Saccharomyces cerevisiae S288C: one gene and its partners. The gene in region 1 interacts genetically with each later gene. Each region holds a gene or a part of one and is shown in the gene's direction. Other genes may lie near its edges. The genes, in order: ORC6, CDC6 and CDC14.

Region 1 (3,557 bases):
TCCTCAACGCAGAACCTATGTTTGGCAACAAATATTTTGGAGACATGTAAAACAGGTCTGTTATTAACTACCCCCAAGAGATCATATGGAATTCTTTTTTCACTTCCGGACGAATGAGATAATGTGTCTACCTTAGGTTCCTTGGGCAAGGTAATATCTTTGCCCTGTAATTCCTTTGCTTTTTCGTTTTCTGCTTCTTTCTCTTTAGCCTTCTTCAGGTTCTCTTGTAACTTCTGTAGCTTTTTGACATTTATTTCAACAAATTTAGAAATGATATTATTCAAAATGGAATGCTTGTTTAAAATCACTTCGAACTTGAAGCCCATGATAAAGCAACCCGAAGATTCGTGCTTTCTAACGGCACTAAAGGCTGCTTTTGCTGCATCATTAATTTTTCCATCAGAACTGGCATACTTTATAAGATAAACATGCAAAGGTAAAGCGCTATTAGGATCATTAAATGCTTCAAAATGAGAAATTTCTCCATACTTTTTAAAATAGTTTTTTATTGATATGTCTTGGATATTGGTTGTTGTTGAATCTTGCGCTGGATAGACAACTATTTCACATGAAGGGGGAGGCCCTAAGGAGTACCTGTCATAAGATATGCGAGGCAATAGAATTAGTGAGTTCCTGCATTTTCTGTGGGTTGCCACTTTTCCGCTAGTCATGATACCGTTTTCATTACGTGGGTCGGATGCTTTTATCTCCGGATGTCTGTGTTTTATTTTGAACTTAAACTGTCCATCTTGTAACTCTTTGACTACGTAATAACCTGTTTCAGAAAATTCTTTATCTGTAGCCTTCCACGAAAGCATCTTATCCTTATTGAAGAACTCGCCTTTTATGGGATCAAAATAATGAAACTTAGACTTCAAATTATCTGTGTTGTATCTCAAAACTGAAGGTGGTCTTTGTTGCAAAAGCAGAGCAGATTCTGTGGGAAGAGATCCACTCGAAGACGCTAATGTATTGTGAACATTGCTATTTGAATACCGTGATTGAGACATGCCCCTCCGACTACTGATGTCAGATTTCTTATTTACATATGGGCCGCTTTGGCTGTTGTTAGTAGCATAGTACTGTCGCGTACTTGCATTGTTTGAACTATGTGGGCGATCGTCATTATAGCGTCGCCTTGTACCATCATTATGGTTATAACGTCGACGTTGATTATATTGACTAGAATATTGTTGGTGAGAATGGCCGTTTGAATACTGATAGTGACCAGAACGCGAATATTGAGGCTGTTCCTGGGGTTGTCTGTATGAACCAGAAGACGCGTGTGCTCTTCTATAGTAATTTGACATTCTCTAAACGCAGAGACCTCTTATAAAGATTCAACAAATAAGGAATGTTACCTATGCTAGTCGCAACTCTCTCGTAAGTTGAGGGTTGCTAACAGAAAAACGATGAGAAGAAACTTTTGAAAAATATTGTGTGAAAGCAGCACGAAACAGAGTATGAAAAAAGAATGCGGGCGTCCGTAAAGAGCTAGAATCGCAAGTGTCCAGAATATGCAAGGCTTTCGAATACACTCCTCACGCTTCTCTTCAGCAAAAATCAACTCTTTGTGATAAAACTGTGTATTTCTTTGTTCTTTGCCGTTGTTTACGTTAGTAAGAAATCGGCATTGAAAAAAAAAATCTCACACTAAAATTGCAGAAAAAAGTGTACAATATCAGTAAATAAAATTGGCCAAAACAATACCATTAAAACCAGTCATGTCCATGCAACAAGTCCAACATTGTGTCGCAGAAGTACTTCGACTAGATCCACAAGAAAAACCGGACTGGTCGAGCGGATATTTGAAGAAGTTGACTAATGCGACATCGATTTTATATAATACTTCACTGAACAAGGTAATGCTGAAACAAGATGAAGAGGTTGCTAGATGTCACATATGTGCATACATAGCGTCACAGAAAATGAATGAAAAACACATGCCTGACCTTTGCTATTATATAGACAGTATTCCCTTGGAGCCGAAAAAAGCCAAGCATTTAATGAACCTTTTCAGACAAAGTTTATCTAATTCTTCACCTATGAAACAATTTGCTTGGACACCGAGCCCCAAAAAGAACAAACGCAGTCCAGTAAAGAACGGTGGGAGGTTTACTTCTTCTGATCCGAAAGAGTTGAGGAATCAACTGTTTGGTACACCAACTAAAGTTAGGAAAAGCCAAAATAATGATTCGTTCGTAATACCAGAACTACCCCCCATGCAAACCAATGAATCGCCGTCTATTACTAGGAGAAAGTTAGCATTTGAAGAGGATGAGGATGAGGATGAAGAGGAACCAGGAAACGACGGTTTGTCTTTAAAAAGCCATAGTAATAAGAGCATTACTGGAACCAGAAATGTAGATTCTGATGAGTATGAAAACCATGAAAGTGACCCTACAAGTGAGGAAGAGCCATTAGGTGTGCAAGAAAGCAGAAGCGGGAGAACGAAACAAAATAAGGCAGTTGGAAAACCGCAATCAGAATTGAAGACGGCAAAAGCCCTGAGGAAAAGGGGCAGAATACCAAATTCTTTGTTAGTAAAGAAGTATTGCAAAATGACTACTGAAGAAATAATACGGCTTTGCAACGATTTTGAATTACCAAGAGAAGTAGCATATAAAATTGTGGATGAGTACAACATAAACGCGTCAAGATTGGTTTGCCCATGGCAATTAGTGTGTGGGTTAGTATTAAATTGTACATTCATTGTATTTAATGAAAGAAGACGCAAGGATCCAAGAATTGACCATTTTATAGTCAGTAAGATGTGCAGCTTGATGTTGACGTCAAAAGTGGATGATGTTATTGAATGTGTAAAATTAGTGAAGGAATTAATTATCGGTGAAAAATGGTTCAGAGATTTGCAAATTAGGTATGATGATTTTGATGGCATCAGATACGATGAAATTATATTTAGGAAACTGGGATCGATGTTACAAACCACCAATATTTTGGTCACAGACGACCAGTACAATATTTGGAAGAAAAGAATTGAAATGGATTTGGCATTAACAGAACCTTTATAACATATCCAGTATTAACTAAAAGTATATATTTGACCAATACCTGACATATCTTCTAAAGCATGCCTTTAGCCCTATAACGAGCTAATGTTAGCTCCATCTTTGCACTTATGATTGGATCAGCCCTCAAACGCTTTTGTATCTTTGCAGCTTCCGCGAAGGTAGTAGCTTGAAGTTTTTCATCCATAGTTCTTGCTAAAATTGCAGAATCTTCAAACAATTCTATGGCCTCGTCAATTTTTTCCATTTGTAATTTTAGTTGTGCTAACCCGATCTTCGCTTGTTCAGATCGTGGATCTAATTCACAGGCTTTTGTCAGCAGCTTAATGGCTGCGTTGAATTTCTCTTCATCCAACTGGGTTGGATCTTGAGAGGATTGTCTAGCTAATATAGTTGCTTTCCCAATCAAGGGTCCTATACCCACATGTATTTTTTCTTGCACTTCTTCCAACCTTTTAGCAATATCATATTGTTTAATTGCAGTATCAAAATCGCCCCTATCTGTCAAGATTTCAGCGAAAAAGGTGG
Region 2 (3,837 bases), on another chromosome or scaffold:
ACAAATTCAGGTAGGAGAAAGTTAAGATTGTTGAAAAAAGTCTACAAGAATAATTCAGGCTTGGGTTCATCGAGTACGTCTGAAATATCTGAGGGATGCCCAGAAAACGAAGTCGCTGATTTGAATTTAAAAAATGGTGTGACACTAGAATCGCCAGAATAATGACATGAGTTTATATGATAGATAAAATTAATAAATTTCCACATGTATAATACTTTTCAATCTTTTTCGCCTACTATTTACTGCCTAGGCTAATAAATTATATGTTTTTGTCCTGGGCGCGACATTCCAAAAAAAAAATAAAAAAGAAGAGAAAATACTGGCTTATGAATACAAAAATTACATAAACGAAGCAAAATGATTATTTCGAATAAAACAGTCTATATATAAGTCAAATACAAGATAGGAAGAAAAACAGAAAAAAACAAAACAGAAGGACTGGTTAATTGTTTTTGTTGATCTTCTTCTTACCACTAGCACTTCCACGTTTGTAAACCTCAATATAGAAAGAGATGAACAAAAACAAGTAGGATGTAAGAATGGCTGCACCAGCAGCAATAGCCGTCATTGAACCTAAGCAATCCTCACACTGTGGAGTACAAGCATTTTTGAAATATGCAGCAACAATCTTCTGATAAAGCACGTAATAAACGACAATGAGATCAAGCATGAACTGCACAATTTGTAGTCTTGTAACCCAGGCTTTCCACCAAACACGAATTCCGCTAGCAGAAAGGAAATAATACCAATACATAAGAACGTGAACAGCTAAGTTTAAGGTGACAGGAACCCATGTAACTGCTGTGTAACCAACCAATTGATTATAGCACAGTAAAGCTGTAGCACCATGATGGTATGTATGTAGGAAAGTCAACTTTCTATGTTTCAACACCATCAAGACAGTGTCTGCGAACTCCACAAACTTTGTCATATAGTTGAGATAATATAATGTCTCCATCGGTTGCGTCCACGATTCAACATTACAAACAGCAAAATACAGCCCATGGCGATACACTATGGGTAGCATCTGTTCCACCATCAAAATCAACCATAAAAAGGAAACAGAAGTCAACATCAAGTTATGGACTTGAGAAATAAATCTCAACTTGAGAGGTTTACATGACTTTACCAGGGACCTCCCGCCAAATATAACCACATAATACATGGCAATAAAAAGCAGTACCGGACGAGGTTCACTCAAAGGCTGCTTCCCAACGGTAAACTCAAAATCCTTTGGCTGGAAGCGACCTGCAGTGGCCCACCCAACCGCACGATTGAAATAGTCCCACAAATAAATATTAAAAAAAGGCCTATCTATTGTTGGGCGAAACCTAGAGGCTTTCTCGAGGCAAAAATTTTTCCAATCACTTACCATACTTGCTTGCAAATTTAGCTCTCAAGTTCCTTAAAATTGATAAGGTATCCTACCTTAATATTCATATCAGTTAGTCTTATATACTTCTACCTCTTTTTCTGGCTTCCTTTCTTTCCCTTATGTCCTTCGGTTTACTAATCCGTAAAGCCGACGCGGGTAAGCCAAGACCCTGAGTTTAGAACTAATATTTCGTCACGTCACGTAAGTGCAAGGTAATAAAAGCAGCAGAAATATCTGTAGTTTCAACAAAATATGTCTGGCTTGCGATTTGTTGTGTTTTGAAACTAGTTGCTAGTCTGCATTCCTTTGTTTTCCCTGAATTACCCAAAGAAGAAAGCGACGCGAGGCCTCACGCGTCGGAGTTTCCAGATCAGGAAATTACCCACTTAGGAAATTGAGTTGGCTGGCAGAAAAGATATAACGCCATCTTGAAAAATAGTATTAGTTAGTCTATTTTTTCATTTATATAGTAGAGGTATATTCTCTGGAAGAACAATTTTGGAATATTCAGAACACTGCGCTGCACTATTTTCATCAATAGTACCATATACGTTCATGTCAGCTATACCAATAACTCCAACTAAGCGTATCAGAAGAAATCTATTTGACGATGCTCCAGCAACGCCTCCACGACCTTTGAAAAGAAAAAAGTTGCAGTTCACAGATGTTACACCAGAATCATCCCCAGAAAAACTGCAGTTTGGCTCACAGTCTATTTTTTTGAGGACAAAGGCACTTTTGCAGAAGTCATCTGAGCTAGTCAACTTGAATAGCAGCGATGGTGCATTGCCAGCAAGAACAGCAGAGTACGAACAAGTTATGAATTTTTTGGCGAAGGCAATTTCTGAACACAGGTCCGATTCACTGTACATCACGGGTCCGCCTGGCACTGGCAAGACTGCCCAGCTTGATATGATTATAAGACAGAAGTTCCAGTCCCTCCCATTGTCGCTCTCCACGCCACGCTCGAAGGACGTGCTGAGACATACGAATCCGAACTTGCAGAATTTGTCCTGGTTTGAATTGCCCGATGGAAGGCTAGAATCCGTGGCGGTAACCAGTATTAATTGTATATCGTTGGGAGAGCCGTCCTCCATTTTCCAGAAGATTTTCGATTCCTTCCAAGATCTGAATGGCCCAACATTGCAAATAAAAAACATGCAGCATCTACAGAAGTTCTTAGAGCCTTATCATAAGAAAACTACGTTTGTGGTTGTGTTGGACGAGATGGACAGGCTATTGCATGCTAACACGAGCGAGACACAATCAGTTAGAACTATTCTTGAATTATTCCTTTTGGCGAAATTGCCTACTGTGAGTTTTGTGTTAATCGGTATGGCTAATAGTCTAGATATGAAAGATAGGTTTCTTTCCAGGTTAAATTTGGACAGAGGGTTGTTACCGCAAACTATAGTTTTTCAGCCATACACTGCTGAGCAAATGTATGAAATCGTCATTCAAAAAATGAGTAGTCTGCCCACTATTATCTTCCAACCGATGGCCATCAAATTCGCAGCAAAGAAGTGTGCTGGAAATACGGGTGACCTTCGAAAACTTTTTGATGTCTTAAGGGGAAGTATCGAAATCTATGAGTTAGAAAAGCGGTTTCTGCTTTCACCAACAAGAGGATCATTGAACTCTGCGCAAGTTCCTTTGACGCCAACTACTTCTCCGGTAAAGAAATCGTATCCAGAACCACAAGGTAAAATAGGCTTGAACTACATAGCCAAGGTCTTCTCAAAATTCGTGAACAATAATTCTACGAGAACGAGGATAGCCAAACTAAACATCCAGCAAAAATTAATTCTTTGCACCATAATTCAATCACTGAAGCTAAATTCCGATGCTACAATCGACGAATCGTTTGATCATTATATCAAAGCGATAACAAAAACTGATACTTTAGCACCATTGCAGAGAAATGAATTTTTGGAAATCTGTACAATTTTAGAAACTTGTGGGCTGGTTTCAATCAAAAAGACAAAGTGTAAAGGGAAAACCAAGAGATTTGTTGATAAGATTGATGTTGATCTCGACATGCGAGAATTTTATGATGAGATGACCAAAATTTCAATTTTGAAACCTTTCCTTCACTAGTCAGCTAATAGATTTATTTTTTCTTTTTTTTTTACAGTTCCACTTGCATCCCTCATTTTTCACATTCCTTTTTTTATAGAAAAGCATATCACTATATAAAAATTCTATTATAGTTGTAACAGCATAGCATATTATAGACTTTTTTTTTCTGGAAACGGTTAAACCGTTTGGCTGAGATGCAATGATATACGCAACATTGCATTCAAAGAAATTGCAAAAAAGACACAATAAAACGTAATTTGTACAAATATTTTACTATCATTAGCTACTGGATGCAGAATGGATGATTGTTAGGGGGAGGTGGGGTACAATTGTTTGTTTTTGATACATTTTCTCTTTCAAATCGCAACCAATTCACTCTGCTA
Region 3 (3,600 bases), on another chromosome or scaffold:
CCACTTGTGTTCAGTAATTAGAGCAAATTTGGTGCAATCGGGAGAAATGCTTTGGTTGATGAATAATTTGGATTTCGTCCCTAGGAATTTGGGGTGTGTGTTGAACTGAAATTTTTTTCTGTACATGGGGAAACAGTTGGCAAAAAAGTACTCCTTTTCTTCGTCCAGATCATGTGCACTATTTGTTTGGTAGTTTGCTGTGGAAGGTATTGTAACGTCCGTAGACATCAAAGAGAAGTTGTTATCTATCGGCACAGTTCTTGTGTTCGAGGCATTATCCAGGATTTTCCAGTTCGCGTGGTCGTCATAGTTGGGCTCGAGTAAGCTGCTTGAGTAATTCTCCTTAGTGGTGTGTTCTTCTTGATCACGGGTGGTGCCAGTCGTGAGTGGGTGGTCCGACCCTACCTCTGTATTCGCATTATGCATCTTCGAAGCCACAATATGGAAGAGTTCGAGCAGTGATGATTTCTCCTTAACTGTAGGGTCTGATAGTGTCTTGTTATCAGCTTCTAGCCCAGCAGTGGAGGAAGAGCGCGATGGCGTTAGCGATAGTGATGATGATGATGGTGAAGTCTTTACTATAGCGGGGAGCTCATCGCTTTCGCTTTCGCCCTGTCCGGTAGTACTTCTGAAGAAGTCAATCTGACGAGCCAAATCTCGCAGCGGCTTGATGGCTGAAAGTAGTCGAACATTTTCTCGCTGACAGATGGGACACGCAGTTTGCTTGTTCGAAGTTTCCCTGCATAAATCATTGAATAGCGATTCAGATATACAGCAGCCACACGTAAGCACAGAGCAGTCTTTGACTATACCGTATTGCACATGTGATTCGTCAGTACCAGTTGCACCATCGAGTGATAGCCGTTGCGGTAGATAGAGGTCGTGTTCTATATCGTCGAGCACCCTCGCTATATCCGTCTGGCGGCCCCACTTTTGTCTATGAGAGTGCATGAACGCCTATCAGTTGTGTATTTCGTACCTATGTATGTGTGAGTGTGCGTGTGCTAAATTTTACGGGTATCTTTTCAGTGCTGATAAGGTAATCATTGATGACTACTGTAATGGTAATGTTAATAAGACGAATAACTCCTCCGCTTGAAAAAGGTGTGAAAATCAAAAGTGCGCCTCATGAAATAATGATAAAGGAATCTTTATATAGCAAAGTAATCAACAAAAACGACTCTCGGTAGCCAAGTTGGTTTAAGGCGCAAGACTGTAATTTACCACTACGAAATCTTGAGATCGGGCGTTCGACTCGCCCCCGGGAGATATTTTTTTCTGAAATTTTTTTGGCTTTATTTTTTCATTAATACACCTGTGTTAGTTATGATTGCCACTAGCTTATATACGTGACTTCTGTGACTTCTGTGACTACTGATGTGTTTTTAGTAGAATACAACTGTTTTTTTCTGTAATGCGTTTTCACATATTGGCACCAGAAAGTGTCGTTACTTTATAAAGCAAGCGACTAGAACAACAATCACACACACACACACACACACACACACACACACACACACACACACACACACACACACACACAAGCTATGAGCCTGATAACGTGAGTCATTCGTTTTTTAGCCGATAGTAGAGATATGCATTTGAAGGCCATTGCTATTGTGTCAATCAAGAAAGCTGTATCACTTTCAACGGGGAATGTACTTTTAGCACCATAAGTTTTTCTTCACTTGGTTCAAAGGTAAACAAATTGAAATTGAAACAATAATGTACCAAATATTTCCGATTCGTTCGAGGTATAATACGAAACAATTGCACAGAGGCTGGGACTACAAAGTACGCTTATAAAAAAAAAAAAAAAATGCGTAGGAGTGTATACCTCGACAACACGATCGAGTTCCTGCGAGGCAGAGTATATCTCGGTGCATATGATTACACGCCGGAAGATACTGATGAGCTGGTGTTTTTTACCGTGGAGGACGCAATCTTTTACAACAGTTTCCATTTGGATTTCGGTCCCATGAACATTGGACATCTATATCGTTTTGCCGTTATTTTCCATGAAATCTTGAATGACCCAGAAAATGCCAATAAAGCCGTTGTTTTCTATTCATCTGCATCGACCAGACAACGTGCTAACGCCGCATGTATGCTTTGCTGTTATATGATCCTCGTTCAGGCATGGACTCCGCATCAAGTGCTTCAGCCGTTGGCGCAAGTAGACCCTCCCTTCATGCCATTTAGAGATGCCGGTTATTCTAATGCGGATTTCGAAATCACAATTCAAGATGTGGTTTATGGCGTTTGGAGGGCTAAGGAAAAAGGCCTTATTGATTTGCATTCCTTCAATTTGGAGAGTTACGAGAAATACGAACACGTGGAGTTTGGAGACTTCAATGTACTCACCCCAGATTTTATTGCATTTGCGTCACCACAAGAGGACCATCCAAAGGGCTATCTCGCTACCAAATCTTCACATTTGAACCAGCCGTTTAAGTCAGTTCTGAATTTTTTCGCCAACAATAACGTCCAATTAGTGGTAAGGTTGAATTCTCATTTATATAATAAAAAGCATTTTGAAGACATTGGCATTCAACATTTGGATCTAATTTTCGAAGATGGTACATGTCCTGATCTTTCCATTGTAAAAAACTTTGTTGGTGCTGCTGAAACGATAATTAAAAGGGGAGGTAAAATTGCTGTGCACTGTAAGGCTGGGCTAGGTAGAACTGGTTGTTTAATTGGTGCTCACTTAATATACACGTATGGATTTACCGCTAACGAGTGTATTGGCTTCTTAAGGTTTATAAGGCCGGGAATGGTCGTTGGCCCTCAACAGCATTGGTTATATTTACACCAGAATGATTTTAGAGAATGGAAGTACACAACCAGAATTTCTTTGAAGCCTAGTGAGGCCATTGGCGGCTTATATCCCTTAATAAGTTTAGAAGAATACCGCTTACAAAAAAAGAAACTTAAAGACGACAAGAGGGTTGCGCAAAATAACATTGAAGGTGAATTAAGAGATTTAACCATGACGCCGCCATCCAACGGTCATGGGGCGCTTAGTGCCAGAAATTCGAGCCAACCTTCTACGGCGAATAATGGAAGTAATTCATTCAAGAGCTCAGCCGTCCCACAGACTTCGCCTGGTCAGCCGAGAAAGGGCCAAAACGGTTCTAATACTATAGAAGATATCAACAATAATCGTAATCCAACTTCCCATGCGAATAGGAAGGTAGTAATAGAAAGCAACAACTCAGATGACGAATCCATGCAGGATACCAACGGCACAAGTAATCATTATCCCAAAGTTTCGCGCAAGAAAAATGATATCTCCTCTGCTTCATCGTCCCGAATGGAAGATAACGAACCCAGCGCAACGAACATCAATAATGCCGCAGATGATACCATACTAAGACAACTATTGCCCAAGAATAGGAGAGTAACGTCAGGGAGAAGGACTACAAGCGCCGCCGGTGGTATAAGAAAAATAAGTGGCTCCATCAAGAAATAATTTATTTCATTTTTATATATATATATATCATATAATAAAAAAACTTACTAATAATAACCTTGAAAAGTTTTATGCCATTTTTCCAGTGTCCCTTCTCGCTGTCTTTTCGAAAGAGTCATATGTAT

The links.
Region 2: mutations in ORC6 (region 1) and CDC6 impair growth when combined (synthetic growth defect), as found in Saccharomyces cerevisiae (5 studies listed by BioGRID, with this or other methods).
Region 3: of ORC6 (region 1) and CDC14, extra expression of one is lethal in a mutant of the other (dosage lethality), as found in Saccharomyces cerevisiae (3 studies listed by BioGRID, with this or other methods).

The regions. Positions count from the first base shown.
Region 1 is NC_001140.6:343,796-347,352, reverse strand, and holds ORC6 (origin recognition complex subunit 6), read left to right. Parts: upstream 1-1,724; coding exon 1,725-3,032; downstream 3,033-3,557. Other genes in the region: histone methyltransferase SET1, read right to left, coding at 1-1,310; protein channel TOM71, read right to left, coding at 3,085-3,557.
Region 2 is NC_001142.9:67,408-71,244, forward strand, and holds CDC6 (AAA family ATPase CDC6), read left to right. Parts: upstream 1-1,930; coding exon 1,931-3,472; downstream 3,473-3,837. Other genes in the region: putative ubiquitin-specific protease UBP12, read left to right, coding at 1-162; fatty acid elongase ELO1, read right to left, coding at 443-1,375. UniProt on the Saccharomyces cerevisiae protein: Plays a crucial role in forming the pre-replicative complexes.
Region 3 is NC_001138.5:208,288-211,887, reverse strand, and holds CDC14 (phosphoprotein phosphatase CDC14), read left to right. Parts: upstream 1-1,819; coding exon 1,820-3,475; downstream 3,476-3,600. Other genes in the region: PTR3 (Ptr3p), read right to left, coding at 1-951; ECO1 (Eco1p), read right to left, coding at 3,591-3,600. UniProt on the Saccharomyces cerevisiae protein: Protein phosphatase which antagonizes mitotic cyclin-dependent kinase CDC28, the inactivation of which is essential for exit from mitosis. To access its substrates, is released from nucleolar sequestration during mitosis.